2 linked regions of the Macaca fascicularis genome follow. The protein of the gene in region 1 interacts with the protein of each later gene in a pairwise test. Links are inferred from orthologs where the notes say so. Each region holds a gene or a part of one and is shown on either strand. Other genes may lie near its edges. The genes, in order: VIM and PNMA5.

Region 1 (15,897 bases):
AAAGTGAGATCCTGTCTTAAATAAAACCTCGGTGAACTTTTTCCATTTCTCTGCATCTTGCTAGCGGAAGATAAGTCCCTATATCTTGACAACTTCCTATATGTTTTAACTCTCAAAGTGGAATTTGTGTTACTATATGCTATATGTACTAAAAAAGTTTTTATTTTTTAATTTTAGGAAGTCTGTTTGTTATTATTAAAATCACAGAGCTGAGCTCATTGTATAGAGAACTATCTTCATTTTGGTACAAGTTATTTTATTCGACAGCACCTATTTGTAAATGTTTTTAAGTAATAATAAAAAGAAGTGAGGTCTGTCAAAAATGACAAAATTAAGAACTACATCTCAAGCATAAATAACCTGAATTTATCAAGTGACGTGATTGTAATGACAAATTAACTAATAGGACCAAATAGAGAATTGTTTAGCTACTATCCAATAAATAACACAACAAAAGAGTTTTTCCAAAGATTTATTGAAGCAGAAAAAGTTGGTCAGATACTTGCTGGAAAAAAAGCAGTTTTAATGATATTCAAAATACCTTTTAAAAAGTATTCTAGCACAAGATTTTTCTGTAAACTAGATTATGTCGTAAACTTTTTTCTAAATCTTTTGGGAGTGTCGGTTGTTAAGAACTAGAGCTTATTCCTATTCCAAATCTATCTTGCGCTCCTGAAAAACTGCAGAAAGGCACTTGAAAGCTGTTTCTTTAAGATATGGATTTCTTTTTTATTCTTGCTGGTAATATATTGCTGCACCGAGTGTGTGCAATTTTTATTCAAGGTCATCGTGATGCTGAGAAGTTTCGTTGATAACCTGTTTAAAAAAAAAAAACCCAAATAAATGTAATGCCACATGCCAAAGATTAAATTATCCTATATATCATGGCAAATAAAAATCCTGCTAAATAGATATAATTTATGGTGCAAATCAGACAGTTATGTTGCTTCTGCACGAGTGAAAGCTAGAAGCAGCAGACACACAAGACTCTTCCACTACAGGCAATATAAGAATCCAATGGAATGTTGTTACTTACAAAAAGAATTTTTTTTAAAAAAAAGTGTGTTTATAAAGGATGGTATAATAGTTGTACACAACACAGCCAAGTTTAAAAGCAATGAAGACATATTAAAACTAAATGATCGTATGGCACATGCTTGTATTATATAGATGGGTTCAGGAATCTATAAAGTATGGAGGTGGGAAGACGCCATATGTCCAGGATCAAAGCATTCCCCATATTGACGTAGTCTAGTGAAGCTGTTTCTTGTAGCTGCTTTAGGAAGTGGTTTAAGGAAGCTTACTCCCACTTCAAATTAAGCACCAAAGCAAATCACTAATTTTGGAGTGTAGGAAGATTGCTATCTCAGCTTCACATCCAGGAGCCAAATAATTAGTTGGCTGTGTGTACTGCTGAAGAAGGAGTCTATTCTTTTTTTAGTAGGCATGAATGAAACCTGAACCTCTCAAATTAGCCTGCTGTATCTGAGATGCAGATCCATTGATTGAAAACATATCAACTCCCGTCTGAGATTACTCTACATTTTACCTAAAAGATACCAACCTGTCCATCTCTAGTTTCAACCGTCTTAATCAGAAGTGTCCTTTTTGAGTGGGTGTCCACCAGAGGGAGTGAATCCAGATTAGTTTCTAAATAAACAAAAAGAGGCCAAAAATGAGTACAAATGACTTTTTTCTTAGAAAAACCAAGTAACCATTTTAGTGAAACAATTATGATTTGTGGGGGAGAGACAATTGTGTGAAGTGCTACTCCCCAAATAATTTTTGAGTAGTCTCTGTTTGCAAGCCCAGGCCCTGACACACTTGAGAATCAGGATGAGACAGCACTTGCAGCAGGAAGAAGGAAAAAGGAGTTTGCATTTAACTTAGAGCATAGAGTGCAAGAGTGTACTTGGGTTTGAAAAGTAGATGTTTTACAGAGTTTTCTCTTATATGGCATTTTTCAGATATCCTAAAAAAAAGAATGCTTTGACATAAACACCATGGTTACAAGCTGCTGATGTTTTTCTTAAAGGGAAATAAAATGCTTACCCCTCAGGTTCAGGGAGGAAAAGTTTGGAAGAGGCAGAGAAATCCTATAAACAGATGAAGAGAAACAGTAAAATTGTAGGCACATAACTTCAACCACTAGGAACAAATTAATGCACTTCTCGTTTTCGTCATGTAAGAGAATGTACTGTTTTAAGTCATAAACTAGGGATTTGTCTCAGAAACATTTTCCTACGACTGGTCTTGTTAGTACATTTAAAATATGTTACTACATTTTCTCCACAGAGGCATGAACAGGAGTTAGAAGAGTGGAGGTTTTGACAGATTTGTGGGTTCAAATCCCAGCTCTGCTGTTATTTACTCTCTCTCAATTCAAATTCCTCCTCTACAAAAAGTGGAAAGTAGTTATCTCAAAGAAACTTTCTAAAGACTAAATGTGACACTGTGCTTAGAGGCCAGTGGCACAGGGCCTAACAAATGGTCACCATTAGTTCACGCATCCAAGTCTGAGTTCCCTACCTGCTCTCCTCGCCTTCCAGCAGCTTCCTGTAGGTGGCAATCTCAATGTCAAGGGCCATCTTAACATTGAGCAGGTCTTGGTATTCACGAAGGTGACGAGCCATTTCCTCCTTCATATTCTGAATCTCATCTTGCAGACGGCCAATAGTGTCTTGGTAGTTAGCAGCTTCAACGGCAAAGTTCTCTTCCATTTCACGCATCTGGCGTTCCAGGGACTCATTCTGTAGGAGGTGAGAAAGATCTCTGGTGTTATTTCTCAGAAAACCCCAGCTGTTCCCAGAACCATTTACAGACCTTCTGCAATAATTTCCATTAGTGGCAAATGGCGACCACTATAATTTTTGGTGGAGAATACAAGTACCAAGTCCTTCATATGAGAAGCAATGATATATGCAAGCTAAAACCTTCAAGAGCTCCATCAAGTCCATTTTGAGTCTGTCTTGATAATTCATTTTCTTTGCATTAAGGTATAAATTTTTACTCACTCAGCATTTTGTTCAGGTTATCACCATGAGCTTAGTCAACAAAATGAGTCATTATTTTCCCTCTTTTACTGCAGGGTTGGTACTCACGGTTCCTTTAAGGGCATCCACTTCACAGGTGAGGGATTGCACCTGTCTCCGGTATTCATTGGACTCCTGCTTTGCCTGGCGTAGGGCGTCATTGTTCCGGTTGGCAGCCTCGGAGAGGTCAGCAAACTGTTAGGAAGAAAACAGAAATGTAGATTGCTCACATTCAAGTCTTTTGATTCTCTTAGAAAAAAAATCGTATTTCTCACTGAATGTCTTCCAGTATAGGTTTAAATTTCTGTTTTAAAGTCAGGGAAAGAGCAGTGGAGTACTGACATTAATATTTTCAAAGTTCACTCTACTATGCTCATTTCAACACAGTGGACGTCAAAGGTATGGCATTGGGGTTTACTTGGAGGCAAGGTTAGGGAAAAGGGAGTCTGCTATTCTGAACGAGGTGATGTGGCCAGGTGTGGTGGCTCACACCTGTAATCCCAACATTTTGGGAGGCTAAGGCGGGTGGATCACCTGAGGTCAGAAGTTTGAGAGCAGCCTGATCAACATGGTGAAACCCCATCTCTACTAAAAAGACAAAAATTAGCCAGACATGGTGGTGCTTGCCTGTGGTCCCAGCTACTTAGGAGGCTGAGACAGGAGAACCACTTGAACTTGGGAGGCGGAGGCTGCCGTGTGCCAAGATGATGCCACTGCGCTTCAGCCTGGGCAGTAGAGCAAGACTCTGTCTCATAAATATACATATATATATATAAAGGAGGTGATGTGAGTGGTGGGAAGGCCGTGGCGACAAACACAATGTGAGCAAGAAGTCAAAGCCAGCTTTGCATTGGAGCTAGAGGATATTTAGGAATCGCACACAGGTATGGGGTATTGAGAACACAATGCTTTTCTTTTGTTCAAGCCACACTGATTTGTTTCCTACCTTGGACTTGTACCATTCTTCTGCCTCCTGCAGGTTCTTGGCAGCCACACTTTCATATTGCTGACGTACGTCACGCAGGGCAGCCGTGAGGTCAGGCTTGGAAACATCCACATCGATCTGGACATGCTGTTCCTGAATCTGAGCCTGCAGCTCCTGGATTTCCTGCAAAAAGAACAGACAGACGGTCAGCTGTGCCAGCCGTGGGGGCTGCCTTACCCTCATTCATTCCCCAAAAGTCACTCCACTAACCTCTTCATGGAGTTTCTTCAAAAAGGCAATCTCTTCTTGCAAAGATTCCACTTTGCGTTCAAGGTCAAGACGTGCCAGAGACGCATTGTCAACATCCTATTTTGAACAGAGAAAAGACAGGACATGGAGGATGTAAAAGTCTATGGCTTATCTCATTTATTTGTCTTAGATTAACCATCTGAACCTAGTCTCCTTACTATAGAAAAGGTGTTGACACATTTTATGACCCTTGAATAGGTTTATAAATCATTCAGTGCTATAATATGCTGTGCTTTCTCCTGCTCACTAATATATTTTAATTGTGACCCCTTGTGTTTTACTCAAGGTGGTGAATGGACAATTTTAAAATAAATAAACGTCCACACACATGGTAAACTGCACTCAATCATGACTGAATCCACATTTTACCTGTGACATTTTAAAATTATTTTTTAAGGCTGGTCATGGTGGCTCTTGCTTGTAATCCCAGCACTTTGGGAGGCCGAGGCGGGTGGATCACTTGAGGTCAGGAGTTTGAGACCAGCCTAGCCAACATGGCGAAACCCCATCTCTACTGAAAATACAAAAATTAGCTGGGTGGGTGGCACACACCTGTAGTCCCAGCTACTTGAGAGGTTGAGGCAGGATAATTTCTTCAACCCTAGGAGGCAGAGGTTGTAGTGAGCTGACATAGCGCCACTGCACTCCAGCCTGGGCAACAGAGTGACACTCTGTCTCAAAAAAGAAAGTAATTCCTTTAATTTAATTACTTTTTAAATCTAGAAAATCTATGCCACAACATTGTTAAGATTTGTTTTGTAATTTCATGGAATAACATGATGATAGAGGTGGACAAATTTTCATAACTTCATGTACACTTGAGTACATGGAGAACAGAAACTTGTGCTTCAAGAGTTTTAGCTTTTTTTCCCCACTCAAATCTTTTGAAACTTATCCTTAGGCTCCAAAGCAAATATGCAATCATGTGGCATCCATTGTACAAGGCTAGATTTATATTCAATAATAACCCAATTCAGGATATGCTGCCAAAGATTCAGTTCAGGAAAAATTGGAAAAGAAATGTAACTCTGAACTGTATTTTCTCTGCTTTCTCTGATGGATTTTTCTTCTAAAACTCCTTTGACTCATCCTACAAAGGCGTGTCTTTTTCGCTTGCCACTGTATCCGTTCAGTTGGCCTGTTTCAGAATGACTGGTCAAACTTGCAGAGAATGAAACTACATGAAGGATTTTTGCTGATTCAGCTGTCCTTCTATGTTTCCATTTGTAAAGCTCAACATTCCAATTCAGAACATGTAATCTTGCAACTAAGATTTTATTTCCTCTCAAAAGGATGCGTGAGGATTGTTTATCTTGTCAGCAATTATATTTGGAGTTCAGTTTATAGCCTTATGGTCTTAAACTGTTGAGACTTTTCTATCACCTTAGTGGAAAAATGAATGAAGAGTGGGTGATAAAAAGATCAGACTTGATGAAAACATTCATTTTTACTTGCTAAGCCCTAAGAAATACATAAAAGATATTTTACTAATCTCCAAAGAAAGATCAATGTGGTATTACTATTACATTGAAGAGAATGAGGAATTTTGCTTAAAGAGAATGAGGAATTTTGCTTAATCTCGAAACAGAGGATCTTTTGTATTGATGTTGTTTTACGTTAACTCACTACTCTGCAGAAAACATTACAGGTATGATAATCAAAAATGCTCAAGGACTAAAATGAACCACACATTGCTGTGGTTAAATTAATTTGGTAAATGTATTTCAGTTTCAAAATGTTGTACTACACTATTCATCTGAGAGTGCTTTGTAGTTAATCCCAGTAAATATTCCAGGGAATAAAACTATAGACTATAATGGGGATCTTCTGGCTTCTGGATTCCAATTTTAAGTCAAAAATTCTATAAGTCCATCCAATTTTGGTGGGAAAAAAAAAAACGCACAAAAACCCTTTAGTTAAAATTGAATTTTTCAGCCTTAGATTTATTACTATTATTATTATTTTTTATGGCGAGAGTGCTAAAGAATACAAGAATCCAATCAAGAAAGGACTTTCAAAATGTGAGGTATGTTTGTAGCTTTAAAAACTTTTTACATTACATACTTCTCAAGTCTGGGCCAGATATTAGATAACGGATGTTAGCAAATACTTGTGTCCAATTAGAACCGTGCTTACATCACTACATATTCAATAAGAATGTAGCCTGCTGCAAAGCTTCCCCGGGAACACAAAGACTCCTATTATTTCTGTCCACAGCCACCACATTTGCCAGAATGTCTGTATCTACATTCCATAGTGAAGCCCATAGAAACCATTAATACCCCTCAGCCGAGGGGACAGATGGCTCCTTTTCACCCTTATTAGATCACAAAATAGTTGTGCATAGTGATACTTCCATCGAACTTTAATGCCACAATAGAAGTTGCAAAGAAGAAAAGAAACTTGCTGGCTCCATTCCAGTTGGAAACTAAGTTTTCTTATCTTCCAACACGTTTTCCATTTTAAACTGTAGGGCATAACTGCGCTTTTTGTGACCTTGTAAAAATTAAGCGACTTGACTTTGGCAAACCACAATCTAAAATTGTGACCGTTCGAAACCAGAAGGTCAATGTGTTGCAAAACTGTGCAACATTTTGAAAACAAAGTAGAAAGTTAAAAGATTTTTCTTTATGTCCCAAGGAACGGCTTAGAAATCATTCAAGGATCGCTTGAACCCGGGAGGCAGAGGTTGCTGCGAGCCAAGATCTCGCCACTGCACTCCAGCCTGGGCGACAGAGTGAGACTCCGTCCCCCAAAAAAATCGTCCAAGCGGTTTTATTAATATTTTTTCTAATAATGAGAAGCTCCAATCTGTGGTCTTCCCGCCACTAGAGGGCTTTACGCGCAGCCCTGAAGTTTTGCACTTTTTAGACGTGGGTTAAGCAACTTTTAGAATTGCTCGTGGGTTGTGTTGGGTGGGGTCAGGTAGCTGCGAGTGGGAAGAGAGCCTACAAACCTGTCTGAAAGATTGCAGGGTGTTCTCGGCTTCCTCTCTCTGAAGCATCTCCTCCTGCAATCTGAAACAGTTGCGCATTAACCAAAGGGGAACTGGGAAACCGCCAGGGGCGGGGCGGCCACACCCAACCACCACGTAGCCGCGCTGCGCCTCCAGAGCCGCTGCGCCACCTCGGCGCAACTAGCGCTTGCAGCTTTCAGGCCTGTGGCCCTCGGCAGGTTTCAGTGGGACCTTGGGCACCGCGCAGAGGGGCAATCACGGTCGCCGCACAGACCTGCAGGACAGCGCCGCCATACCCACCCCCGAGAGACCATCCCTTTGTCTCGCTCCCTCCACCGCCTTCCCCTCCTTCCTTCGCCCGCCCGGCGATTGGCCGCCCGCCAGAAGGGGCAGGAAACTTTATAAAAGTTTGGAGGACTCGCTCTCATTGTGCCCAAGGGCCTTCAACTGCACACAAAGTGGTAGTTTTAAGAAATCTGTAACTTGAAACGGAGCGTCCTTGGGCAATGTGTGGGGACAGAGGGGGAAATGCGAACTGCAAGGTCTGGGTTCTGGGCGGGGCTGCGCCGCCACAGCCACAGCCGCTGCTCTCCGCAGTCCCCCCGGCAGGCCTCCCCCGGGCCTCATCCCCAAGGGCGTGGCAGCCCTGGCGGGGGCGGGGGGCGTTCCCCTCTCCCTCCAGCCCCCTCCCGAGGCCCAGCGACTTGCAATGGGCGCAGCCTTACTTCTCCCGGAGGCGCATGATGTCCTCGGTCAGGTTGTCGCGCTCCACCTCGACGCGGGCTTTGTCGTTGGTTAGCTGGTCCACCTGCCGGCGCAGCTCCCGCATCTCCTCCTCGTAGAGGTCCCCCAGGCGCGACTTGCCCTGGCCCTTGAGCTGCTCGAGCTCGGCCAGCAGGATCTTATTCTGCTGCTCCAGGAAGCGCACCTTGTCGATGTAGTTGGCGAAGCGGTCATTCAGCTCCTGCAGCTCCACCTTCTCGTTGGTGCGGGTATTCTTGAACTCGGTGTTGATGGCGTCGGCCAGCGAGAAGTCCACCGAGTCCTGGAGGAGCCGCACCCCGGGCACGCTGCTCCGCAGGCGCACGGCAGAGGAGCGCGTGGCATACACGCCGCCCGGGGACGAGGCGTAGAGGCTGCGGCTGGTGCTGGGGCGCAGCGCGCTGCCCAGGCTGTAGGTGCGGGTGGACGTAGTCACGTAGCTCCGGCTGGAGCTCGGCCGGCTCGCGGTGCCCGGGCCGCCGAACATCCTGCGGTAGGAGGACGAGGACACGGACCTGGTGGTCATGGCTGCGGAGGGTGGCGATGGGCTGGGCTGCGGCGGTGGCGCGGACTGGCTCCTAGAGAAGAGGCGGACGAGGGCGCGGTGGGTGTGGGTGGTGGGAGCGCGGCTGAGTCTCTGGCGCGGGGACCTCGGAGCGAGAGTGGCAGAGGACTGGACCCCGCCGAAGGCGCTGTTTTTATAACCGCATTAGGAAGGAGGGTCCCCTCCCACTGCCATCCCAGCGGCGGAGCGCGCCAGCCAATAGGGACCTGGCGAGAAGCGGGGAGGGTGGGCGGGTGGGGTGGGGGCGCCCTCGAGCCTTTCTCCTCCAGGGCCTGGGACTGGGCATGGTCCCGTTACTTCAGCGCTGGGCTGGGACTTTTGGGGCTTTCCGGATGATAGTCTGAGCTGGGCTCACCCTGGGGTGCTGAAAAAGGCGGGGTCGCGCGGTGAGGGGGGATCCGCCCGGGACTGAACCAGAGGAGTCCGGTGGCACCGCGCCAGAGGGGCGTGGGAGGAAGCGCGCGGCTGCCTCGGGGCTGCGGTCAGGTGGGGAGACCCGCGAGCAAAGGAGCGGGAAGAGGGAAGAGTAAGGGATCCGGCAGATCTGAAGTCGCTGAGAAAGAAACAAAGAGCGCCTGAGATTGGAACGCGGGATGGGGGCGCGCACAGCTCAGGAACGCAGGGCTCAGGGCCCCGCGCAGCCTCGCTCACCGCCCGCTTGGAAAGGGGGGCTGCTCCGGCCCGCGCCTCTGTCAGTCGACTTGCCTTGGCTGGGAGATGTTGGGGGGGAGGGGAGGCTCTATCGAGGGACCTAACGGACTCAGTCCAGCTTCGGACGGCGGGAGTTGCCAGGCGGCGGTGGCAGAGGAAAGCCCGAGGGAGAGGGGTGGGGTCGCTGAGTCACCGGTGGTGACTCACCGCGCCCTGCTGTCCCGCCGATTGAGGGCTGCTAAGCGGTTTAGGGGAAACCGTTAGACCAGATTGACTCGAGTCTCCGCGGCTCCGCGCGTGCTGCTGGTTCCCAGTCCTACCAACTTAGAGCTGGGCCATCGCTTTGATGTGTGCGGTGGGGCCCTTTGGGGGACAAGAGCGCCTCTAAGTTCTTATAACTCGCTAAAGCCTGACTTTGCTCGATGTGTGGACTTTTTGTTAGTAAGAAACTTCTTCAGCCTTTGAAGAGGCGCCATACGTGGGCCTCCTGGATCACGATTGCACCGGGAAGGTTTTTCTTGCAGAGTCCCCGCCCCCGTCCCTCCGGTCTCCTCTCGCTCTTCCCCCTCCCCGCGTGAAACCACACCCAACTTTTTAAACAAGATCTGAAAATTCTGGGTGAAAGAGGAAACTCAACGTCCGTAGTTTCAAAATCGAACTCAGTGATCAGTGGTTTTCACCCTGGTGGAAGTTATTAAAGGTATAATTTGAGCCAATGAAATAATTAATTAGGTGTTGCTTAAAAACCCCAATTTGATTAATGAGTTCAAATGAAAGGCAATTATATAACACAAATGACAGAATGTTTGGCGGCAATAGATTTGTGTGTTAATTTTAGGACAGCAATGCACAGTGCAGGGTTCACGGTGATTTGTCTGGGAAATGTCACAGGTCCTGTTTTCCAGAAGAATTCGTGCAATTGACCTTGGGGTGAGGGGGGATAAAACTGTCCACGGAGCAAAAAACTTCGTGTCCCAGGCACGGAGGGAGTGTTCAGATTCGGTCATCTTAACCTTTCTAGGGAAATCACTCAATTCAAGGGCTGTTGTTTCAATATTAGTAACGAGCAGAGCTGAGTACTCACCAGCCAAGGGAGATAAAAGGCGGCTATGTAAATCAGTCTTCTTGTGATTTAGTAGCAATTGAAAAAGCACAGGTTTTTTGAGTATTTAGATTTATGGTGTACTGAAAGGATTAACTACAGAACCACTGTAAAATCGATTCTGCAGTGGATAGGAGGGAAAAAAATGCATTTCTTTCTTTCTTTCTTTCTTTTTGGTGGGGGCAAGGGGTACTGCAGGTTACCTGGTATTTAAGAAAAATAATTTAGAGGCCAATGAAGAGCTTCTTCTGACTTCTTCGGACAAGCCTCTTTTAGGCAATATTTTGTTTACCTTATCCCGGTTCGTTCTTGCAAATGGTGCTGCCAAGGTGGAATTACAGGACTCTCTACTGCCCAGCTCGCCTGCTGGGGCTTTCTTTTATTCTCTCTTTCACTGGGAGGCTGCAGGTCATTCCCCAAGAGCATTCCTGGGGCTGGGTGCCCTGGAGGACAAACCTATGCTCTGAGTTACATCTTGCTTTCTGAGAGCCCTTTATTCAAGCCACTGCTCAGCAAATGTCACCATTGTGAGTTTGCCTGGAACCCTTAGAATGAGAAAGGCGATCTCTGTATGGGAGGAAGAGAGTGTGGAACTCACTTCTACATGCAATGCCGATCCCAGGGCAATGCGGTGGCACTGTCAGGGGACACTTGCGGACTGACTCACTATGGAAAAGGAGGACAAGGCATTGGCGCAGTGTGGCACTGTGCCCTGCTGGTGCCCATAGCTGACTCCTCAGGGCTGTGGTGATGTCTCCTGGAATGGGCACCGGTTCTCTTCATCATCTCAGGGATAGGTAGCTCTTCCTTCCAACCTGTCCCCATTCTGAAGTCTCAGGGCTGTGACAGGCTGCTCTCTTGCCACATACATGTTTGTTTGATGCACATAGAGTGTATAAAAGTGTAAGTGTTGTGTAATCCCAGCACTTTGGGAGGCCAAAGCAGGAGGATTGCTTGACATCGGGAGTTTGAGAACAGCTTAGGCAACATAGTGAGACTCCATCTCTAACATATATATATATATGAAACAAAAAAAATTCGCCAGGCATGGTGGTGCACACCTGTGGTCCCAGCTACTTGGGAGACTAAGGTAGGAGGATTGCTTGAACCTGGGAAATTGAGGCTGCAGTGGGCTGTGCACACCACTGCACTCCACCCTGGGCAACAGAGTGAGAACCTGTCTCAAAATAAAGTATATGTATGTACTACACACACATATACATATACACATATACAGCGTTCAATGTGTGCTTCCTGTTAGAAAATACCATTGTTTTTGGTGGGCTGTAAGAGAAGTGAAAGCTACAAAAACACTTTCACTCATTAATGTAGAATTCATGAGACTTAAGAATTCATTTCATTCTCAGATAAGATATACAGTGCCTCAATCAATGGGTGATAGTCATCAGTCAGGGAGATCAATGAATCTGAACTTACATCCTTGAGTGAGACAACTCAGCCTGCTCTCTATGCTACTATGTTCTTAGGTATCTTTTGGGTACACAGACATAGCTTTCACGGGTTTTGTGTTTATTTTTTGATTGCTATGAAAACCTATCTCAGAAGTATTTTTAAGTGCTGGACTAGGAAGCTGCTTTCAACACAGCATGATGTGAGTTGCATATAAATAAAGACATGGTGGTGTAATTCATAGCGCAGGCATAAACACTACCACATCTAAATTACCAACAGTGATTTTGGAATTTGCAAGCTGTCATGATGTCAGTTGAATTGGGTGACTTAAACTGACGGACCAGCCAGCCGTGTGGACAGAAGCTTAGTGGCCTATGGAGGCTTTGGGAAAGCTGGCTAGCCGTGCCAAGAGAACAGCATCTAGCAGGACTGTTTGGATGGAATGTTAGAAAGAAGGAGGAGGGTAGAGTGAGAGGGTGAAAACCATATCAAAACCTAAAATCCATGGAAATACAGGTAATAATAATAGTATAACTACTTTAATGTTGATACCAACTGGATGACAGGCACTGTGTATACATTTAATTTAACTTAACGCACTCACACCCTCCTGCAAGATAGACTTGATCATCCACTTCACTAATGAGGAGTCTAAGATGCAGGCTAACAATTTTCTTGCGGTCGTATGACTAGCAGGGGAGGGAAGAAGGGGACAAGAATTTGAATCGAGGCCTTTCTGACTCTAAATGCACATCTGTTTTCTGTTTGTCTTGATAACAAAATTTTGCTTATTATCAACCAGTTCAATTCACAAATATTAAGTGCTGGACTTATTATTTAGGGACCTACTACGTTCCAGGAACTGAAGAGATGGGATGATTAACACAGATCTTGCTGCTAAGGGGCAGATTTTTAGAAGAATTTGGCAGACAGCTACAACACCATGTTTATGATGTAAAATGATGTAAAAAGCAAAATCAAATGATGTAGCAGTGATCGTAATATATAAGAAGGGAGTTTGTTTTCACCTGCATTCTAAAACTTTACTTTCATTTGTGAGTTAAAATTTTTCACGTAGATTCCGTTTTGCCTCTTAGGAGGAATCACATGCGAGATTGGGTTTAGCTTACCTCACGCCCTAAAACCCATGAACCACCGTCGCTTCCCTTGCCAGCTTCCCTGTCTATTCAGGGCAACGCAACGAAACAACAAGATTGGAAACTTTCATCATTGCCACTTTCTAACTCTTCCATCCCAGATCCAATGGGTATCATGCCCCGCTCTTTCTGGATCCATTCCTCTGTTACGTTGCTGTCACTCAGATCCAAGCCATTTCGTACCGCCTTCCTGCAATACTGCAGTTGGCTTCCATTCCTCCATCCTTTTTTTCTCCCACCAATGCATCTATCTTCAAGCCATCACCCCTTTTTCTTTAAAAAATATATATTATATATATATATATATATATAATTCATATATATATATTTAGAGACAAAGGCTTGCTCTGTTGCCTAGTCTGGAGTGGTGCAATCATAGCTCACTGCAGCCTCTTAACTTCTGAGCTCAAGCATTCCTACTGCCTCAGCCTCCCAAGAAACTGGGATTACATGTGTGTGCCACCCATGCCCAGCTAACTTTTTATTTCTTGTAGAGCCAGGATCTTGCTATGTTGCCCAAGCTGGTCTTGAACTCCTGGGCTCAAGCAATCCTCCAGCATTGGCCTCCCAAAATGCTGGGATTACATGCATGAGCCCCCACAGTTGGCAAAAAACTTCCTTCTTTAAACTTCTTGGTGGGAATTGCTCATCTCCTCACTAGAATGTAATCTCCATAAGGGAAGGCAGGAATTTTTCTCTTTTTTGTTCACCATTGTATTTCCAGTGGCTAGAGAAAAGCCAGGCACATCTGTCGAATATATACATTAATACATGGGTAGTTCATAGAAGGAAGAAATAGTGTGTGGGGCTAATATTTACTGGTGCTTATTATGTTTAAGCATTGTGCTAGTCACTTTAGACATGACTGCATTTAATCTTCACAAGGTATCATGGTACACAACTTTTATTCATTTACTCCAAATGTATTTATTGAATATTTGCCATGTACCAGGCAGTCTGGTAGACACTGGGGAAGGGACAAAAGCAGGTATGGCCCAAAGCCTCTTGGAATGTAGTGTTGAGTGTGTATATGTATATGATTCAGAGAGACAATACTCGTAAAGAAACAAACAAAATAATTGCAAGTGGTGATAAAGACTGTGAGGAAAACAGAAATTTTGCTGCAGAGGAAGTTGAGGATCATAGTTAACTGGTGGCCTTTGGAAGCTATGTTAAGTATGTATATCCATCCTCATTTCCCACTGTTCCCCCCAGGCAGCAATTTCAGTAGAACCCTAAGCTCCTTCTTATTCCATGAATATAGTACATTTCCTCCACCCTCAGGTCTTTCCTCATATTCCACTCAACAGATAGATGTATTCATATTTTTTTGCACTGCCTGCAATGTATCTTAGTATATTTCAGTAAGTAAGATACTTTTTATGCCTCTAGGGATCTCATAGCCTTGTATAAGGATTAGAAAGCAGATAAAGAGTTGGAATACATAGCAGAATGAGGTAAGTGAGTGCTGTTGCACAGATAGGATTAAATACTGAAGAGTTTAGATGGAGAAATAATCATTGCGGCACTATTCACAATAACAAAGACATGGAATCAGCACAGGTGCCCATTAACAGTGGATTGGATAAAGAAAACGTGGTGCATATACACTGTGGAATATTATATAACATAAAAAAGGATGAAATCATGTCCTTTATAGTAACATGGATACAACTAGAAACCATAAACCTAAGCAAATTAATGCAGCTAAACAGAAAACCAAATACTGCTTGTTCTTACTTCTAAGTGGGAGCTAAACATTGAGTATACACAGAGACAAAGAGGGAAACAATAAACACTAGGGATTCCCAAAGTGGGAAGGAAGGGAGGAGGCAAGGACTGAAAGACTGCCTATCAAGTACTATGTTCGCTATTTGGGCAGCGGGATCATTAGAAGCCCAAACCTCAGTATCACACAACATATCCACGTAACAAACTTGCACGTGTACCCCCTAAATCTAAATTTTTTTTTAAAAAAAACTATAATACTATACCGAAAAATAAGTTACATATTGTTGAGAAAACAAATGATCATATCTACTCGGGGGAGAACAGAAATTGTCATTAGAAAAGACAGTATTTGAAGAATGAGTACAATTTCTACAGCTTCTCAAGGCAAAGAAAGGTTGCTCTAGTGCTGACCAAACAGTATAAGCAAAAACTGTGTGGGTGGCAGAGTGCTGAGGACATTTAGGGAACAGGAATAATCCCAGGGTTGCTGGATTACGGAGTATTTGTAGGGGAGAAAGGGAACTGAAAGTTAACGTGGGATTATGCGTTGGACGGGTAAATGCCAGGAAGAGGAGTTGATAATTAATGTGGTGGGCAGTGGGAATGCACTGTGAATTTCAACTGGGAGAAAGACATGCTTGTAGCTGTATTTTAGGATTGGAGAACGAGGCTGATTTGAGGTCTGCTTGAGGTAGATCAAGTGAATGGTAAAGGGAGCCTGAGGCGGAGATGATTTTAGCAATTGTGATATTTAAGGGCGAGAGGATAAGCAAAATCGAGTGGGCTCTGAGCCTTGTGAACAGGGTAATTAAAAGAATAAATGAGGCCGGATGTGGTGGCCCACACCTGTAATCCCAGCACTTTGGGAGGCTGAGGTGGGCGGATCGCGAGGTCAAGAGATTGAGACCAATTTGGCCAACATGGTGAAACCCTGTCTTTACTAAAAATACAAAAATTAGCTGGGTGTGGTGATCTGCGCCTGTACTCCCAGCTACTCGGGAGGCTGAGGCAGGATAATCGCTTGAACCCAGGAGGCGGAGGTTGCAGTGAGCCGAGATTGTGCCACTGTACCCCAACCTGGCAACAGAACAAGGCTACATCTCAAAAAAAAAAAAAAAAAAAAAGAAAAGAAAAGAAAGCATAGATGCCTTCCAGACAGAAATAATAGAAATAATTAGTTGGAAAGTTAATTTGAGTTGAAAGACAGTTAATTCAGGTACCTTAACCTGGAAGTATCTTCCCTTCTCTGGTCTATATGAATTGTAGTCTCACGGAGGTGAGCTATAACTGGACA
Region 2 (15,934 bases), on another chromosome or scaffold:
ATTTCCTAAGTAGATAGACTTGAGGACAGGATGTCTCTCAGTCCTCTCTGCTCAAGGGACGGATCTGAGGATGGGAACCCTGTCGGTCCATCTTCTGAGGGGATAGATATGAGGACAGGAACTCTCTCAGTCCCCTTAGCTCAGGGGACAGGCCTGAAGATACGACCCCTGTCGGTCCATCTTCTTAGGGGACAGATATGAGGACAGGACCTCTCTCAATCCTCTCTGCTCAAAGGACAGGCCTGAGGACAGGACCCCTCTAAGTCCTCTTTGCTCTGGGATAGACACGTGAATGGGATCTTTCTCAGTCGACTGTGCTCAGAAGACAGGCCACAGCACAGGACCTCTCTCTGCCCACTAAGCCTCACATGCCTGAAGACAGCATCTCTCTCAGTCTTCTCTGCCCGGGGACACCGGAGGATGATACCTCTCCCACTGCTTTCTACTCAGGGTCAGGCCTGAGTAGAAAGGACAGGACCACTCTCCGTCTTCTCTGCTAAGGGGACAGACCTTAGGATGGGATCCCTCTCTGACCTCTTACACAGAGGATGGGCCTGTGGACAGGACCTCTCTTATGACTCTCCGCCCAGGGATGGGTCTGAGGACAGGAGTCCTCTCAGTCGTCCTGCTCAGGGGCTGCCTGAGGATGAGACCTCTGTCAGTTCTGTTTGCTCAGGGGACAAACTAGAAGATGGGACCTCTCTCAGTCCTCTCTGCTCAGAAAGAAACCTGAGGATTGTACTCTGTCGGACATTTCTGCTCATGGACAGGGCTGATGATAGGATCTCTCTCAGTTGTTCTGCACAGGGGACACCTGAGTATGGGACCTCTTTCAGTCCTCTTTGCTCATGGAACAGGCCTGAAAATGAGACCTCTGTCATTTCTCTATGATCAGGGACAGAGTTGAGGACAGCACCTTTCACAGTTCCCCCTGCTCAGGTTTCGGAGAGAGGCCTCTCTGCTCAGGAGACCCAACTCAGTCCTCTCTTGTTAAGGAACAGGTCTTATGATGGCACCCATCTCAGTTAATTTTCTCAGAGGTATACCTGTAGACAGGACCGCTCTCACTCCTCTCTGCTCGGGGGACAGACCTGAGGACAAGACCTCTCTCAGACCACTTTGATCAGGGACAGGCCTGGTGACGGGACCTCTCTCAGTCCTCCCTGCTCAGGGGATAGGCCTTAGGATGGGACCCCACTCAGTCTTGTCTATTCTGGGACAGTCCTGAGGACGGGACTTCTCTGAGTCCTTTCTGCTCAGCCTCAACCCCCATGATTGGGCTCTGATCCCGCTCCCTCATCCACTGCTCAAGCCGTCTGTGAGCCCAGGAGGTTGCTGCTTATTGGATGGGCTTGGTCAGCCCCTGGGCACCCAGGAAGGCACCTCGATGGACCTTTCTGTCCCCAGGCCACACATGCCCCGTGCCCCCACCCCCCAGGGACACTTGGTGAGGACTGTGCAGTGAAGCACAATGCATGGTAGGAGCTCTGCAAGCCGGCACACACCAAGGGCCTGGCCAGGATGAAAGGGACAGGGGGCCCCGTGGTGGGGCCCGTCCTTCAGGCCCAACAAAGTCTCCTGGCTCCAGGCTGGTGGGGAAGCAACTGGTTCCTCCCGGTACCGCCTTCCAGACTCCCTGGCTAGATCCCTTCTAGGTTTCACAACCCAGCTATCCAGCCTGTGTGCTCACACGCTCACTGACACAGTCGCGCACACGTTCAGTGACACGCTCACGTTCCAGACACACTCACATGCGCGCACACATTGAGTGACAAACACGCATTGAATGACACATACATGCCTGCTCATCGACACACCCACATTTGCAGTCAGCACACTCACGCACAATGACTCACAAACACACACACACTGACACGCATTGACACACTCACAGTGTCACACACATGCAGCGACATGCATGCTCACCTTCAATGGCACAGCCTCATTCCCCCACACACTCCCACTCACACATGCTTAGTGATGCAGTCACATGCTGTCACTTGGATTCACACACACTCACTTTCTCAGAAACTCATGCACATGCTCACACTGACACACACACGCACATGCGCAAACACACCCGCTCAGACACTCACGGCACACACAGGTCCACTCTGAACAGGGAAAACCAAGGAGCCCTGACAGGCTCTGGCAAGGTCAGCCAAGCTCTTCGCCCTCTCTTCTTGTCCTGTCCCTGAAATCTGGAGGGGCCCTTGGAAAGTGAGCAGTTGACTTGGCCCTGCTGAGACACAAGGGACAGACATGCTGGGGTTGTGCCCAGCCTGAAGAAGGCAGGGACAGCAGAGCACAGTGGGGGCCACAGGCATGCCCGCAGGGCACCCCGATGCGACACACTACAAGGGTCCCTGAGACACTGGTTAGGCACCTTCAGGCCGAGGAGGCTGCAGACCCAGCCCCAGGGACCTGCTGCCCCTGCCCCTCCCCGACAGCCCCGCAAAACTACCCCCCGCCCACGCCTGCACTCGCCTGTGTATGCCTAGTGTCTCCCAGGGCCCCTGCCGCCCTGCAGCCCTGCTGACTGCAGCTCTGCTCAAGCAGACAGGTCGCCTAGATCCAGGATTCCTCAGCCCGGGCGGGCAGCCACCCATTCCCAGCACTGGCTCCCAGGCTGCTTTGGGGCACCCTGGCTATCATCTGAGCCAAGGGGATGGTCGGAGGCTCTGTGCTCCAGAACAGCTGGAGGAAGCGTGTGGGCACAGACTGAGTGAGCTCTGGGAGACCCTCGCCAGGTCCAAGTCACTGATCCCGTCCCCTCCCCGCACTTGTGCAGGGAGGGGCCTATCAGTTGTCCCAGTCCTGTTGCCCACAGACTCTGGGTTAGTTAAATGGCTGATCGAGGACTACCCTCAATTTGTGGCGAGCTCCCTGGCCTGTTGGGAGAGAGAGCCAGTCCCAGGAGGGCTCAGGAGGGCGGGTTCCAGGATCCTCAGGCCCCCACTGAGGACTGCCCCTCCGGCCAGTGCTCAAGGAGGGGTGTTCGGATTAGCAGCGCTGTCCACCCTGAGGGAGCCCTCCTCAGGCAGCATCCAGGGCTCAGAGGGCCTCGGGGACGCAGGACAGAAAGGGGTCACTCCCCAGGGCCATCTGGACTTGCAGCTCATGGCCCACTGCCTGCTCCCAGGACACAGGAGTAGAGGCCCCCCCAGCACACTGGGAAGAGAGCAGAACAGGACCCAGGATGAAGTGCAGCTCCCCCCGCCCTTCCTCTCCCCCTCCCCGACACATAAGCACTTGGGATCCCTGTCTGACCAACACTCTGTCCCTTGGCCATCACACACACACACTATCCCCAAACATCCCTCAGTGGTTAGGCCAAGGCTGGCCACCTGCGGGCTGATCTGGGAGGGTGGGCACACAGCAGCCCCTGCACCACCCCCTGAGTCCTGCACACAGCTCTTCACAGGGCCTCTGACTGCCTGTCCAGGCCCTCCTGGGGTTCTTCTCTGACCTTGGTTTCTGCCCTCGGTTGCACACATGGCCTCTCTGACCCTTCTGGAAGCCTTGAGCCACACCCCTACAGTGCTGCCAGGAATCAGGGGCCTGGAACCCACCTGCTGCCCCTTGCCCAGCCTTCAATGTCCAACCCACTTATTCCTGAGGGCACCTGGAGTGCCTTTAGTACCCAACCAGTCACTGCTCATGACCACCAGCATCCTGTCGCCAGGCTCCATGCAGCCCAAGGCACACCACAGGTCCTCATGGACACACACCCCAATGTCAGCCTGGCCACTGTGGCCTCGTCCCCAGCAGACCACCGCCCACCCCAGTTTCATACAGAAGAGGCAAGACACTGCTGGAACACTGAACAAAATTTATTGAAGAGAAACATGAACTGAAACCGCTGAAGAGAAGGGAATTGTAACACAGACAGACACTGCAAACAACCACTGCAAGTCACAAGTCCCAGGCCCCTCCCTCACCGTGGCTCCCCCTACCACATCCCTCCTTCCACAGGGCCCCAGGATCCACCTCTTGCCAGGATTGTGGGCTCTGGCAATGTGTACTCACTTCAGGTAACCCCCTCCTGAGCCCACCCGCTGGGGCAGGGCCCTGTCTTATAGACTGCACAGGACAGTCACAGGATGCTGGAAAACATAGCAGGGAACACCCCACCAAGTTGAGGAAACTGAGTCACGAGTAACAACAGGGGTGGAACGCCAAAGCACAAAGCTTCCTGGGGAGCCTCAGGCAGCCCTGCTCCGTCCTGTGTCTGGTTCGTCCTCCTGCAGTCAAGGTCACGGTCACAAGGTGAGCGTCTGCCATGCCTCCTTCCCACTGTCTCCTGGAACTGCGCTGGGGTACTCTGGAAAGGAGCTGCTCAGATACAAACACAAACATCCCCAAGAGAACAAGCAGCTGCTGGCCGAGATCTACACCGGCAAAGCAGAGGTGGAGTTCTTGACACGGAACAGCAGTGAGCAGAGCCTGGGCCTGGTGATGACGCAAACCAAAAACAACTACCCACCCCCAACAAGTCCTCTCTTCTCACACTTCTTCCTCCTCCTTCCCCTCTTCCTCCTTCTCCTCCCCCTCTTCCTCCTCCTTTTCTTCCTGCCCCTCCTTATTCTCCTATTCCTCCTCCTGATCATCCTCTTCTTAATTCTCCTCCTCTTTCTCTTCCTCACTGGTGCAGGGGGTCATGAATGCTGCCTTCCTGGGGCTCCCCTCATGCAGTGTAAATGATCCTAAAGACGGGCTGGACCCTGCAGCCTCCCCTGCCGGGCTTCACTTCTCCCCCACAGCTCTTCCTCAGCAGCCCTGGCTCCTTCTGGCAGAGGCAGGCCCCAGGCAGGCTCCTCCAGGTCCCACATGGCCTGGGTGCCAGTGGGCATTCTCAGCTCAAAGTTCACAGGGTGGATATTTGGGGGTGTCCAGATGACCAGGCCAGAGCCCCCAGCCACACCGTCTTCAGCCCCTGCTTTGTTGGGGTCCCCATCTGAAGCCCAGCCACCCCCTGTGCTAAGTGTAGCTGTTCCCTGCTTGTGTCTCCTATACCTGTTAGGGGCCATGGGCCTGGCCCCCACTGAACCAGATGCTATTTGGTCTAGGTTGGTGAAGTCCCTTCCAGCTGGTGGAAAGTAAAGGGGCTTGATCTTGACCTGGCTTCCCTGTCCCTCTGCCCCAATCAAGTTCCCTGTTAGTGTAAGCTGCCCTTTGTTCAAATGTCCCTGCTGCCTGCCAGGGGAAGGAGTGCTTGGGTCTTCTGAGCCTATGTTTCCCAGGGCTTGGGATGGCTCATGGCCCCAGCCCCTGCCTCGTTTCCCGACTCCTCTCCTGCAGCCTGTGGCCCCTCCCTGCCTGGAGTCTGGTTTTCAGCCTTGGGATACATGGCCTGGCCATAGTCTTCTTCCCTAGTGCTTTCACTGCACGACAGCCGCCTGCGTTTCACTAATGGGGGTAAGCCTCCCTGTACAGTCTGGGTGCTGCTGTCGCTCAAAGACCTTGCCTGCACGGTGGCCTGAGGTGCAGAGGCACTGGCTTCTGCTCTTGCCTGTCTACCAGAGGCCCCCCGGCCTCTCCCTGATGGCTTCTCCTTATTCTTCATCACTGCCTCAGTGTTCTCCCACTCTTCTTCATCTCGAATAAGCTTCATTAACTCCAGAAAATTGGGAGGACACCCTCGCTGATCCAAGAGCTCCAGCTTGCCTCTGAGGGCGGGGGTCATGGAGACCCGAGCTAAGAGATGTTTCAGACGAATCATGTCTGCGCTGCGCACTGACAAGGGGCTCTTCTGCACTGCTTTCTGCAGCAGGGGCTCTAAGCGCAGCAGGAAAGTGGAGACTTTCTCTCCAATCTTCGGAAAGGTCTGCAGAAACTTAAACTGAGAGGCTCTGAAGTCCTCTTTATCCCCAAAGATCTGCTTTAAGGCGTCAAGGCACTGCTCCACAGTTATGGAGTCATTGTTGGCCTGGAGCACCCGCATGATTGACAGAGCAGGCCCTCGTAAGCTCTCCAGCAAACGCCGTCTCTTCTCCATCTCAGACACTTGCCATATGGGCATTATCTCGGTGACCTGCTCTAGCCAGTCTTCAAAGGTCTCTTCACCTGGGCTAGGGGAAGCAGTTCCCGAAAACACTTTCAGTTTCCGGTACCACATACTTTCTTTCAGAGGCTCTAAAGGTGGGGGTCTAACTTGGGGTACGACCTCTGCATCCAGGCTCTCGGCAGGGAGGCTGCAACATCCCAGGGCTCTGGCCACATCTGTCATACTTCGGCCCTCATCTTTCAGGAAGTAGTTCAGTCTAATGAGAAACTCGTCATCTGGGTTACGGGGTTTTACCACCACTTCCCAGGAGCCCCCCTTTCCTGGTATGTGACTAGGCAGAGTAGTGTAATCGACAGTGTCAGCCAATTCAATGAAGACTGCCTTGGCGTTGTCTTCCCTCCTGAACATTCTCCCTAGCACCCTGTATGCGCGCAGGGGCTGTAAGCCTGCCTGCACAGTGTCCTGAATTTCCATCTCACTACACTCCACGGGGATGCCTATGATCAGCAGGGCCTTTCTGGGGTCCATGTCCATCCCCTTGCACCAATCCTCTAGCAGTGTCAATGCCATTGCTCCCACTTTCTATGGACTGATCTAATACTAGGGCAGCAATCAGCTTAGTTTGACAGCACTCAAATAACTCTGAGCCACTGCCACGTAGGAAGGTAGAAGTGGTCCCAGGTTTCCACAGCCTGCAAAGCAAATGGGATGAGAGCATTGTTAATGCCTACCCCAACCTATACCCCCAAGCACCCCTCCTCTGCCCCCACCCCCGAGCAGGGATGGAGTCCCTTCTTCCCAGGGTTCCCCAAGTTATTTTGGGGAGGGTAGAGGGTGGAGGTTCTCCCCAGGCAAAGATCTCCTCATCTCACCACTCCCTGCTGACCTCCTCCTGCTGTGGGTTCCTCCTCGAAGTCCAGAGGACTCTGCTGTGTGTGCTTCGGGTATCTGTAGTGAAAAGGCCAAAGTCAGGAGGCAGGGCCTGACATCTGGGGACACTGACAAGCTCTCCAGGCGGAAGAGGGCAGGAGACGGCCTCACTGCTCACTCAGGGCTATGTGGGCTCAGGTCACCCAGCACCCTCCTTGCTGGAGTGAAGGCTGGCAGCAGGAGAGGTAGAATGGCCCTCTTTCTCAGGAATGCCTGACAGATGAGAAAGATGGCCGAGCTCTGCGCAATGCAATGAGAGTGGTGGGTGTGGAGATTGTGTGACAAGCTGCAGTGTTGCCATGGATACAGAGAATACCATGGACCATGGGTTGCTATTGCAGGGGAGTGTCATGTGGTAAGGCTAAGGTCCTTGAGAAGCAACAGGTGATGTCATTGGCCTCCAACCAATAAAGCTTCCCAGCAAAAAGGAGGGTGGGAGAGGGAAAGCGAGGTGGGCTTGAGGAGTGAGTGCTGAAAGGACAGGAGCTCATGGTTTCAATTGTGTGGAAGCTGAAATCAGGTAGAAAAGGGACCCTGATGAGGTCCCCACTGCCAGACTGCAGGAAACCAACAACTCTTGCCCTAGAGATGGCCCTACCCTGCAGAGTCTGTGAACGCTGGCAGGCAGTCCCCTCTCCACACTCTTTGCCGGGGTTCCAGAGACCCTCCCAACAGGGCCCACCTCACAGCTGCTCACCTTTCTGGGTTGGCCCTGCTGGCAGCGCAGATGCTGCAATAACACAGTCACTTCAGAGTCGCTCTGCTCTTCAACTCTATCCAATTAGGCAGTTCCTGACTCAGGCGTGATGGTTCCTGCTTCCCTGGATCTGTCCAAGGCAAAGCACAGGTATTTTGCTGTGATTCTGTCCCACACACATGTCCCTGCTCAGGCCATGCCAATTCAGATTCTGCATAGGTGTCCACTAGGACCCTGGTGCAGGGGTAGAAGAAACTGCTCAACTGGCAGAGGGAAGAGGAGGGGGGAAGGGGGGAGGGGTGGGGGGGAAGGAGGAGTGGGGGGAAGAATGGCGAGAGGGGTGGGAGGTGAGGAGGGAGGTGGGGGGCGGGGGGGCTGCTGCTAGGGCAGAAGGGATCCTAAGGTAAGGTTGCAGCCCCACCCCCACTGCAAACTTCATTCCCTCCCAAGCCCCACCCCTGCAGCCATGTTGCACCCCTTCCTAAGCCCCACCTCAAAACTTGCACGCCTGCTGCCAAACTCTGCCTACAACTAAGTTGCACCTCTACCCCAAGCCTAGCCCCCCACCAAGTCCAACTCCTTCCACCACCCAAGTCTAACTCCCGCCTCAAGCCCTGCCCTCACCCACAGTCCAACTCCTACCCCAAGCCCTGCCCCCTCACCAAGTCCAACTCCTACCTCCATGCAAGTCTAACTGATGTCCCCAAACCCCCACCTCCATTTCCCTGTTCCCCCAATCCCCACCCTGTTATTTACATACACCCACACCACCGACACCAGTGGAAGCAGGCAGAATCTAGGAGGGGAAGGTTCGAAGCCACTTTCCCTCAAGGGCAAGGGCCAAGAGCTACTGTCCTGACTGCAGTGTCTCCGGGCAGGGTCGAGGGTGGAATACGTCTCCCTGAAGTTTTTTTTTCTTTTTTTTTTTTTTTGAAACGGAGTCTCACTCTGTCACCCAGGCTGGAGTGCAGTAGGGTATGATCTCAGCTCACTGCAACCTCCGCCTCCTGGGTTCAAGCGATTCTCCGACCTCAGCCTCCTGAGTAGCCGGGATTACAGGCGTATGCCACCATGCCCGGCTACTTTTTGTATTTTTAGTAGAGACTGGGTTTCCCCATGTTGGCCAGGCTGGTCTCCAACTCCTGACCTCAGGTGATTCACCTGCCTTGGCCTCCCAAAGTGCTGGGATTACAGGTGTGAGCCACCGCGCCTGGCCAGGTCTCCCTGAAGTTCTGCCTGGAAATGGCAGGGATTCCTCGGGGTGCTGTGTGTGATCTAGTGGGATCCCGCCTCCATGGAAACCTATGGCCACCAGCCCCTAGACCCCGTTGAAAATAGCAAGGATTATTGGGGGGATCCCCCGCAATCTGAGTTGCTGTCTAAGCCCGGGGTCCAGCTCCGTACCTGCCGGAGGTGCCTCCAAGCCGGTGTTCCCGCGCAGCGCGACCACCACACGTCTATGGCGGCTGCCGCCTCCGTGCCGACTGCGCCACGAGGCTGTGGCGGGAAGAGGTTGTCTGGAGACGACACCACTCCCCCAGCGGAATTGCACACGGCCCGCTCACGGTTGCGCACTGGTGACATAAACTCTCCTACTTCCCACAAGGTGGTTCCTCACCCCGCCCCCCCGTGCCAGCCTGAGCCAGCCTGCACCTTTGAGGACAGAGAATGCAAGCCCAGCTGGGAGCCACTTACATTGCAGAATAGCTCCCAGTCCTGTTGTTTATTGGCTGGACGATGGTGGCAGCCAGGCTCGCCACGTGCCATTTGGCCCAGCAGCCATTGTGGCTGTTCCCCATTGGAGGGGAGCTGTGGCGTCCCAAGCCTGTGGTGAAGGGCCGGGTGCAAAACACCCCGTGCAACGTATAGGCCACGTGAGCGCGCTTGCTACCTGAAAGTCATAGCCCCCGTTTTTTACTGGACTGTGTTCTAGGGGAGGAGGGCAAAAAATACAGCTAATGCCTGCATTTCACAAGGGCATTAGTTTTTTTCACTGCTCACTGAGAGCCAGTGACTGAAAATATTCCATTCTCCCATTATTCTCCTGATTTCACGACCAAATATTACGCACCTAGTACCCAAGCTGCTTCCTGTCGTTTCCCAAAGCAGGTTTCTTCCACAGAGGGAAGATCCTGGGGCCTGCAGTGGCCCGAAAGTGCTGTTCCAGAAAAGGGTGTGGGTGCGGCACAGGTAGCATACTTCAAGGTGCACATAAATCCCCTGGTAATCTTAAAAAAATGCAGGTTCTGAGTAAGGAGATCTGAGGCAGGGCTGGTTCCGCTGAAAGCTGGGTTACTTGCTGCATATCCCTGCCCAGGCTATGTGGAGCAAGGGTCTGAAGCCTATGATTACATTTCAGGGCCAGAAGTTATGGACCTTTAATGACAGAATATATTTGTTTTTCTTTCTTTGTGATTAAAAACAAAACAAAACAAAAACAGGCTTTTCTGGTAATGTTTTAATAAATATGTTAAAAGCAGACAACATTTTAAATTGATGGTCACTAAGCAAGATATTTGCAGATGTCACCTTCTTCAGCCAGGTGTGGTGGCTCACACCTGTTATCCCAGCACTTTGGGAGGCCAAGGTGGGCAGATCACTTGAGATCAGTCTGGCCAACATGGTGAAACCCCGTCTCTACTAAAAATCCAAAAATTAGCTGGGTGTGGTGGTGCAGGCCTGTAATCCCAGCTACTCAGGAGGCTGAGGCACGAGAATCGCTTGTACCTGGGAGGCAGAGGTTGCAGTGAACCCAGATTGCACCACTGCACTCCAGCCTGGGCAACAAAGCGAGATCCTGTCTTTTTTTTTTTTTTTTTTCTTCTGAGAAGGAGTCTTACTCCTTCTCCAGCCCAGGCTGAAGTGCAGTGGTGCAATCTTGGCTCATTGCAAGCTCCGCCTCCTGGGTTCACGCCATTCTCCTGCCTCAGCCTCCCGAGTAACTGGGACTACAGGCGCCTGCCACCACGCCCAGCTATTTTTTTGTATTTTTTAGTAGAGATGGGGTTTCACCGTGTTACCCAGGATGATCTCAATCTCCTGATCTTGTGATCCGCCCACCTCTGGCCTCCCAAAGTGCTGGGATTACAGGTGTGAGCCACTGCGCCCGGCCGATATCCTGTCTAAAAAAAAAAAAAAAAAAAAAACCATTGAGAGCCCATTAAATCAATCTCCTTCATGTGACAAGAAAATAGTGCTGGAAGCCATTGCTTAGCTGCCTGGTATCACAACATCACAGAAGGTGATGCCTCGGACAGAGGTTCTGCCTCAGTCACCTCTGAGCTACTGAGGCCTGTGAATGTAGTGATTTGGGGGACACAGTCTGGAGTCCTAGTACCTGGCTGTCCGCCAACTCCCAGCTTCCAGACCCTGCCCCTAAGCATGAGCTTTCTCTCTGCCAGTTTCCAACCCCCTTTTTCTCTCAACACTTCCACTAGGCCATTTTGAGGGTAGAGGGTCAATGGTTGGGCCTGTTGCCCCCAGAGGCTCAAGCCTTGGCACATCAAGCCCTTACCATGCAGGTCCCGTTCCCAGGGCAACATGGATGCCTCCCCCTGTCTAGCTATTTGCCTCCCCCGGAGACTCTGAGATTTTTCTCCTTCATCTATCTGAGGCTTCTGGGAGAAGTTGGAAGCCCATGTGCCCTTAATACAGCCGACCTGAGATATCCCTGCCCTGTGCAGCCCCAGCTGCACTGCTGAGGCGTGATCTTCCACCTTCCCGTTCCAGGGCCTCGAGGTGGTCTCTGGAGTGGGCTCCACAGCCTGAAGGTGGCATTTGCCCATGGGTGGTTGCAGTGTCTGCAGACAGAGAGCAGGCACCAGCGGGACCCCAGAGTGGCCGAGGGCGCCCTGGGGAGGAGCCAGATTGCTGTGCCCCCAGGCAGTAGGTGCGAGAGGGGGTCCTGGTCTGGAACCTGAGGAGAGGGGAGGAGGGTCTCCTTGCTGCAGGAGTCTGGGTGGGGTGAGCTCCTGGCTGCAGGGTGCCTCTGGCTACAGAAGGGGACTATGGTAGAGACAGGGGCTCTGACTGTGGGGGAAGGGGACTCCTGGCTGCTGACACGGGAGGCGTGGGAGGGGGTTGTCAGGTTGCAGGGATGATGGGAGGGGGCTCCTGGTCAAGTGCTGGGAAAGAGGAGGTGGGCACATCCAGCTGCAGGGTTCCATATGATGGTTGGAGTGGCTCCAGCTGTAAGTTCTGCCATCAGGGGCTGTACACCAAGGTGAAAGAGATGCTTCCTGCTGTGGAGGTGGGGGATGCAGTGAAGGGCTCTGAGCTGCAGCAGTAGGGGTGGGGGAGCATGGGCTGTGACACTGGGCAGGGAAGATGCTTCAGGCCCTGCATTTGGGAGTGGCTGGTCTCTGACTGTGTGGTGGGGGTGGGCTGACTGGCACCAACATCCCTCTCTCCCCTTTGCACTCACAGGCTGCGTCAGAGACTGCAACAGTCAGCACACATTCCTGTCTGATCAGGCTCCCTCCCTCAAGTCCTCTGCGATGGCTCTGGCGATGCTTCGGGACTGGTGCAGGAGGATGGGTGCGAACGCAGAGTGCTCCCTGCTCATCCTGGATATCCCTGATGACTGTGAGGAACATGAGTTCCAGGAGGCCATGCGGGCTGCCCTGTCGCCCCTGGGCAGGTACCGAGTGCTCACCAAGCACTTCAGAAAGGAGCTCGGGGCCAGGGCAGCCTTGGTGGAGTTCGCTGAGGGTTTAAACCGAAGCTTGATTCCCTGTTGAATACCAGGCAAAGAAGGACACTGGAACATGATCTCGCTGCCCCAGGCCCCTGATGCTGATTTCAGGATATATCCAGTTTCCCTGCACAGCCCCAGGGGCAAGCAGTGGCCAAAGGTGCAGGTGAAGCAGGAGCTGCAGGTGAGGAAGATGAGGCAGGTGATGGAGGAGCTGCAGGTACAGCAGGAGCCATAGGTGAGGCAGGAGCTGTGGGTAAGGGTGAGGTAGAAGCCACAGGTGAGGCAGGAGGTGCAAGTGAGGCCGGAGGTGCAGGTGAGGGAGGAGCTGGAGATGAGTTGAGAGTTGCAGAAGAGGCAAGAGAGTCAGATGAGGGAGCCGCAGGTGATACAGGAACTGCAGGTGAGGCAGGAGCTGTGGGTGAGGCAGGAGCTATGGGTGAGGCAGGAGGGACAAATGTAACAAGAACCTGGGTCCAGCCTTGGCGCTGCACCCTGCAGGCTGTGCTGGAAAACAGGGCCTACCAGGAACTAAGACCCTTTTCCAAGAGGGAGCAGCCAGGCTGCGAGGAAGAGTCCTTTGAGAGCTGGGTGGAGCATGCCAAGGATATGCTGCAGCTGTGGTACCATGCGTCGGAAAGGGAGAGGAAGAGGTGGCTGCTGGAGAGCTTGAGTGGCCTGGTCCCGGACGTCGTGAGCGGCCTCCTGGAGGAAGATCCCAACTGTGGCGGTGCTGGACTGCCTGGCGGTGGTGCTGGAGCAGGTATTTAGGAACCGGGTCACTCGAATGACTTCCGGGCTGAAGTTCCTGACCTGCCCGCAGGGGCCCTTTGCCTTCCTGGTACACCTGGAAGGCCTGCTGCAGATGGCCCTGGAGAAGGCGGCCGTCCGCCCGGCCCTGGCCAATCACCTGCGACTGCGGTAGGTGCTGCCTCAGGCCTGCCCTAGGGAGGCCCTCCAGAATACCCTGAGGGGGATGCAGCTGGAGAGGAGGCCACCCAGCTTCCTGGGGCTGCTCCAGCTCATCCAGGAGATGGAGGTGTGGGTGGCCTCCCCAGTGAGGAGCCAGCAGGGTGTGGCCTGGCCAGTGGCTGCAGCAGAGAGTGAAGACCCAGTTGCCGCCCAGGCAGCTCCTGCCCATGGAGATGCTGCCCAGGCCTCCTCAGCCCAGGGGGACGCCAGCCAGGCTGATCCTGGGGTAGAAGATGCTGCTGAGACTGCTCCTGCCACCAAAAAGGCTGTCAGGGGCACCCCTGCCACTGGGGAAGGTGAAAATGCCCCTGCAGAGCTCAAAGGAGCCAGAGGGCCTTGTCCAGGCAGGAGGCCAGGAGGCTGAGGAGCCCCCCAAAGGGAGGCTTATGTTCATCCTGGAGGAGTTGGAAAATGAGGACAGGGCCAGGGAGGTGGGCCAGCGCAAATCCTCCCCAGGCAAATAGGCTCAGAGGGCCCCAGGGCCTCCTCTCCTCTCAGGCTGCAGCATCCTGGAGGCAGAGGGGAGGCCAGGCCAGGGCTGGTCCCTCATCCCATATCAGGATTGGGGCCCCCCACCTCCCTCCAAAGGGCCCTGGCCACCACCATCAGCCCTTCCCGGTGACCCAGATGACCACGTTGATACCAAATGGGGTTGGGGGAGGTGCCCTTCCTTTGCACCCAGTGCTGCACCCAGCCCCAGCCCCAAACTCTGCCGTCTCCAGGGTTCTGGCCTGGAGGGAGCCCTGAGTGGCCAGCTGCGGCCTGGGTGGGGGCACCTGAAGATGTCTGTCCCCCACCCCTTGTCCTGGGTTGGGAGAGACAGGGGCAAAGAGGTCCTCTCAAGGGTGCCAACTGCCTAGGTCTCCCAAGAGGGTCACCCCACTTGCCGTCCCCAGGGCAGGCTGCCCCCTGTTCTGGGAAGCCCACCCTCACCTGTGTAGGCCCCGCAGTGACCCAGCAGACGCCCACCCACTGCTAGCTGTCGTTCCTCTGCAAAGTTGTGTGTTGTGCACCCACCTGGGCAACCGCCTCTAGGCCCGGGGCATGTGCTGTGAGCTTCCTGCGAGCCCAGGTTCTGCTCACTGCTGCCTGTCCTGCATCTTAAACACCACCTCTGCTTTCCTGGTGTAGATTTAGGCCAGTGGCTGCTTGTTCTCATGGAGCTGTGTGTGTTCTTCTCTGAGCAGCTCCTCCCCAGAGGCCCTCAGCACAGACCCAGGAGATGGTGGGAAGGAGGCACCAGGGCACGGCGGATGCTCACCCTGTGACCACGATGGTGACCATGACTGTAGGAGGAAGAGCCGGACCCGGGATGGAGTGGGGCTGCCCTGCCTGAGACTTCCAGGAGAGCTTCATGCTTTGGTGTTCCACCCCTGTTACTCATGACTGTTTCCTCGACCTGGTGGGCTGTTCCCTGCTGTGTTTAGTGGTGTCCTGTGACTGTCTGTGATGGCCATAGGGCAGGGCCCTGCCCCAGCAGATGGGCTCGGGAGGGGGTTCCCTGAAGCCAGTGGACACTGCCAGAGTCCACCGTCCTGGCAAGAGGTGGACCCTGGGGCCCTTGGGAAGGAGGGAGGTGGCAGCGGGGTCAGCAGCAGGAGGGAGGTAGACGAGGCACCTTGCCAGGAACCCCAGGAGGAGGGATCCCAGGACCTGTGTCCTGTGGTTGCTGTTTGCAGTTTCTCTCTGTGTTGTGGCTCCCTTCTCTTCAATGATTTCAGTACATGTTTCTCTTCAATAAATTTCATTTCATGTTCCAGCCCGCCTCGCCTCTGCTGTGGGTAACTAGTGGAAAAGGTCTCTTTGGGATAAAATCGGAGCTAGGGGACAACAGTGGCCTGGAATTCTGACCCTATTGTGGTCACTGGGATACGGTCAGGGCATAGTAGGCCAGCGATTGTAGAGAATGACCTAACTGTAGTTAGGTCATTTTTAAATTGTTCCTCAGTTTCTCGTTTATCCTGTGTGTGGACTACAGTGCTAGAGCTTTCACCATCTCTTTGGAAAGACAGAAGAGATGGATAAGGAAAAGGAGCAGAGCAGAGCGGCACCCCTCGCCTTCCCCAGGGTCTGGGTAGCGGGCGTGGGACGTGTCGCCTGTCCAAATGTGCAACCGCCACCAGTGTACGCGACGTGTGTGCACCTGTGCACCTTGGCGAGCGCGCAGCCGTCATGAGTGCGCCTGGGCGCGCCGCCATTTCCTGCAGCCTCGACAGCACGGTCGTATGTTTCTGGTTGTCATTTTATTCTTTTTGAGAAACGGTCTCGCTCTGTTGCCCAGGGTGGAGTGTAGTGGCGCTATCATAGCTCACTGCAACATAGACCTTCTGGGCTCAAGCGATTCTCCCGCCTCAGCCTCCCGAGTAGCTGGGACCACAGGCATGCACCACCATACCCGGAACCAAAGTCACAGTCAGTCGCAGTGCCCGCTGGGAAAATGCGACCGTCCACAAAGCGAAACGGCCCTTCAGGGCGAGTTCGGCCTCCGTAGAGATTCTCCTGAGGCCACGCCTGCGCTGGCCGCCAGAAGGCGCCCGAGGATCACGAATGGGCCCAAGGAGCGGGCGGCCCCTTCCCATGCTCAAGGTCTGCTGCCGCGGTCAGAGTGGCCTTGGGGTGACCGCACGTGGACCGT

Evidence for each region.
Region 2: the proteins of VIM (region 1) and PNMA5 interact in binary tests that used the Homo sapiens proteins (3 or more experiments, as listed by UniProt). The link is inferred for Macaca fascicularis from reciprocal best matches to the Homo sapiens genes VIM and PNMA5.

The regions. Positions count from the first base shown.
Region 1 is NC_088383.1:18,130,660-18,146,556, reverse strand, and holds VIM (vimentin), read right to left. Parts: upstream 8,656-15,897; 5' UTR 8,511-8,655; coding exon 7,948-8,510; intron 7,284-7,947; coding exon 7,223-7,283; intron 4,324-7,222; coding exon 4,228-4,323; intron 4,141-4,227; coding exon 3,979-4,140; intron 3,228-3,978; coding exon 3,102-3,227; intron 2,751-3,101; coding exon 2,530-2,750; intron 2,097-2,529; coding exon 2,053-2,096; intron 1,651-2,052; coding exon 1,565-1,650; intron 817-1,564; coding exon 775-816; 3' UTR 457-774; downstream 1-456. UniProt on the Homo sapiens protein: Vimentins are class-III intermediate filaments found in various non-epithelial cells, especially mesenchymal cells. Vimentin is attached to the nucleus, endoplasmic reticulum, and mitochondria, either laterally or terminally.
Region 2 is NC_088395.1:159,079,714-159,095,647, forward strand, and holds PNMA5 (paraneoplastic antigen-like protein 5), read right to left. Parts: upstream 7,192-15,934; 5' UTR 6,894-7,191; exon of another isoform or gene 6,880-6,893; intron 6,700-6,879; 5' UTR 6,578-6,699; coding exon 5,231-6,577; 3' UTR 3,818-5,230; downstream 1-3,817.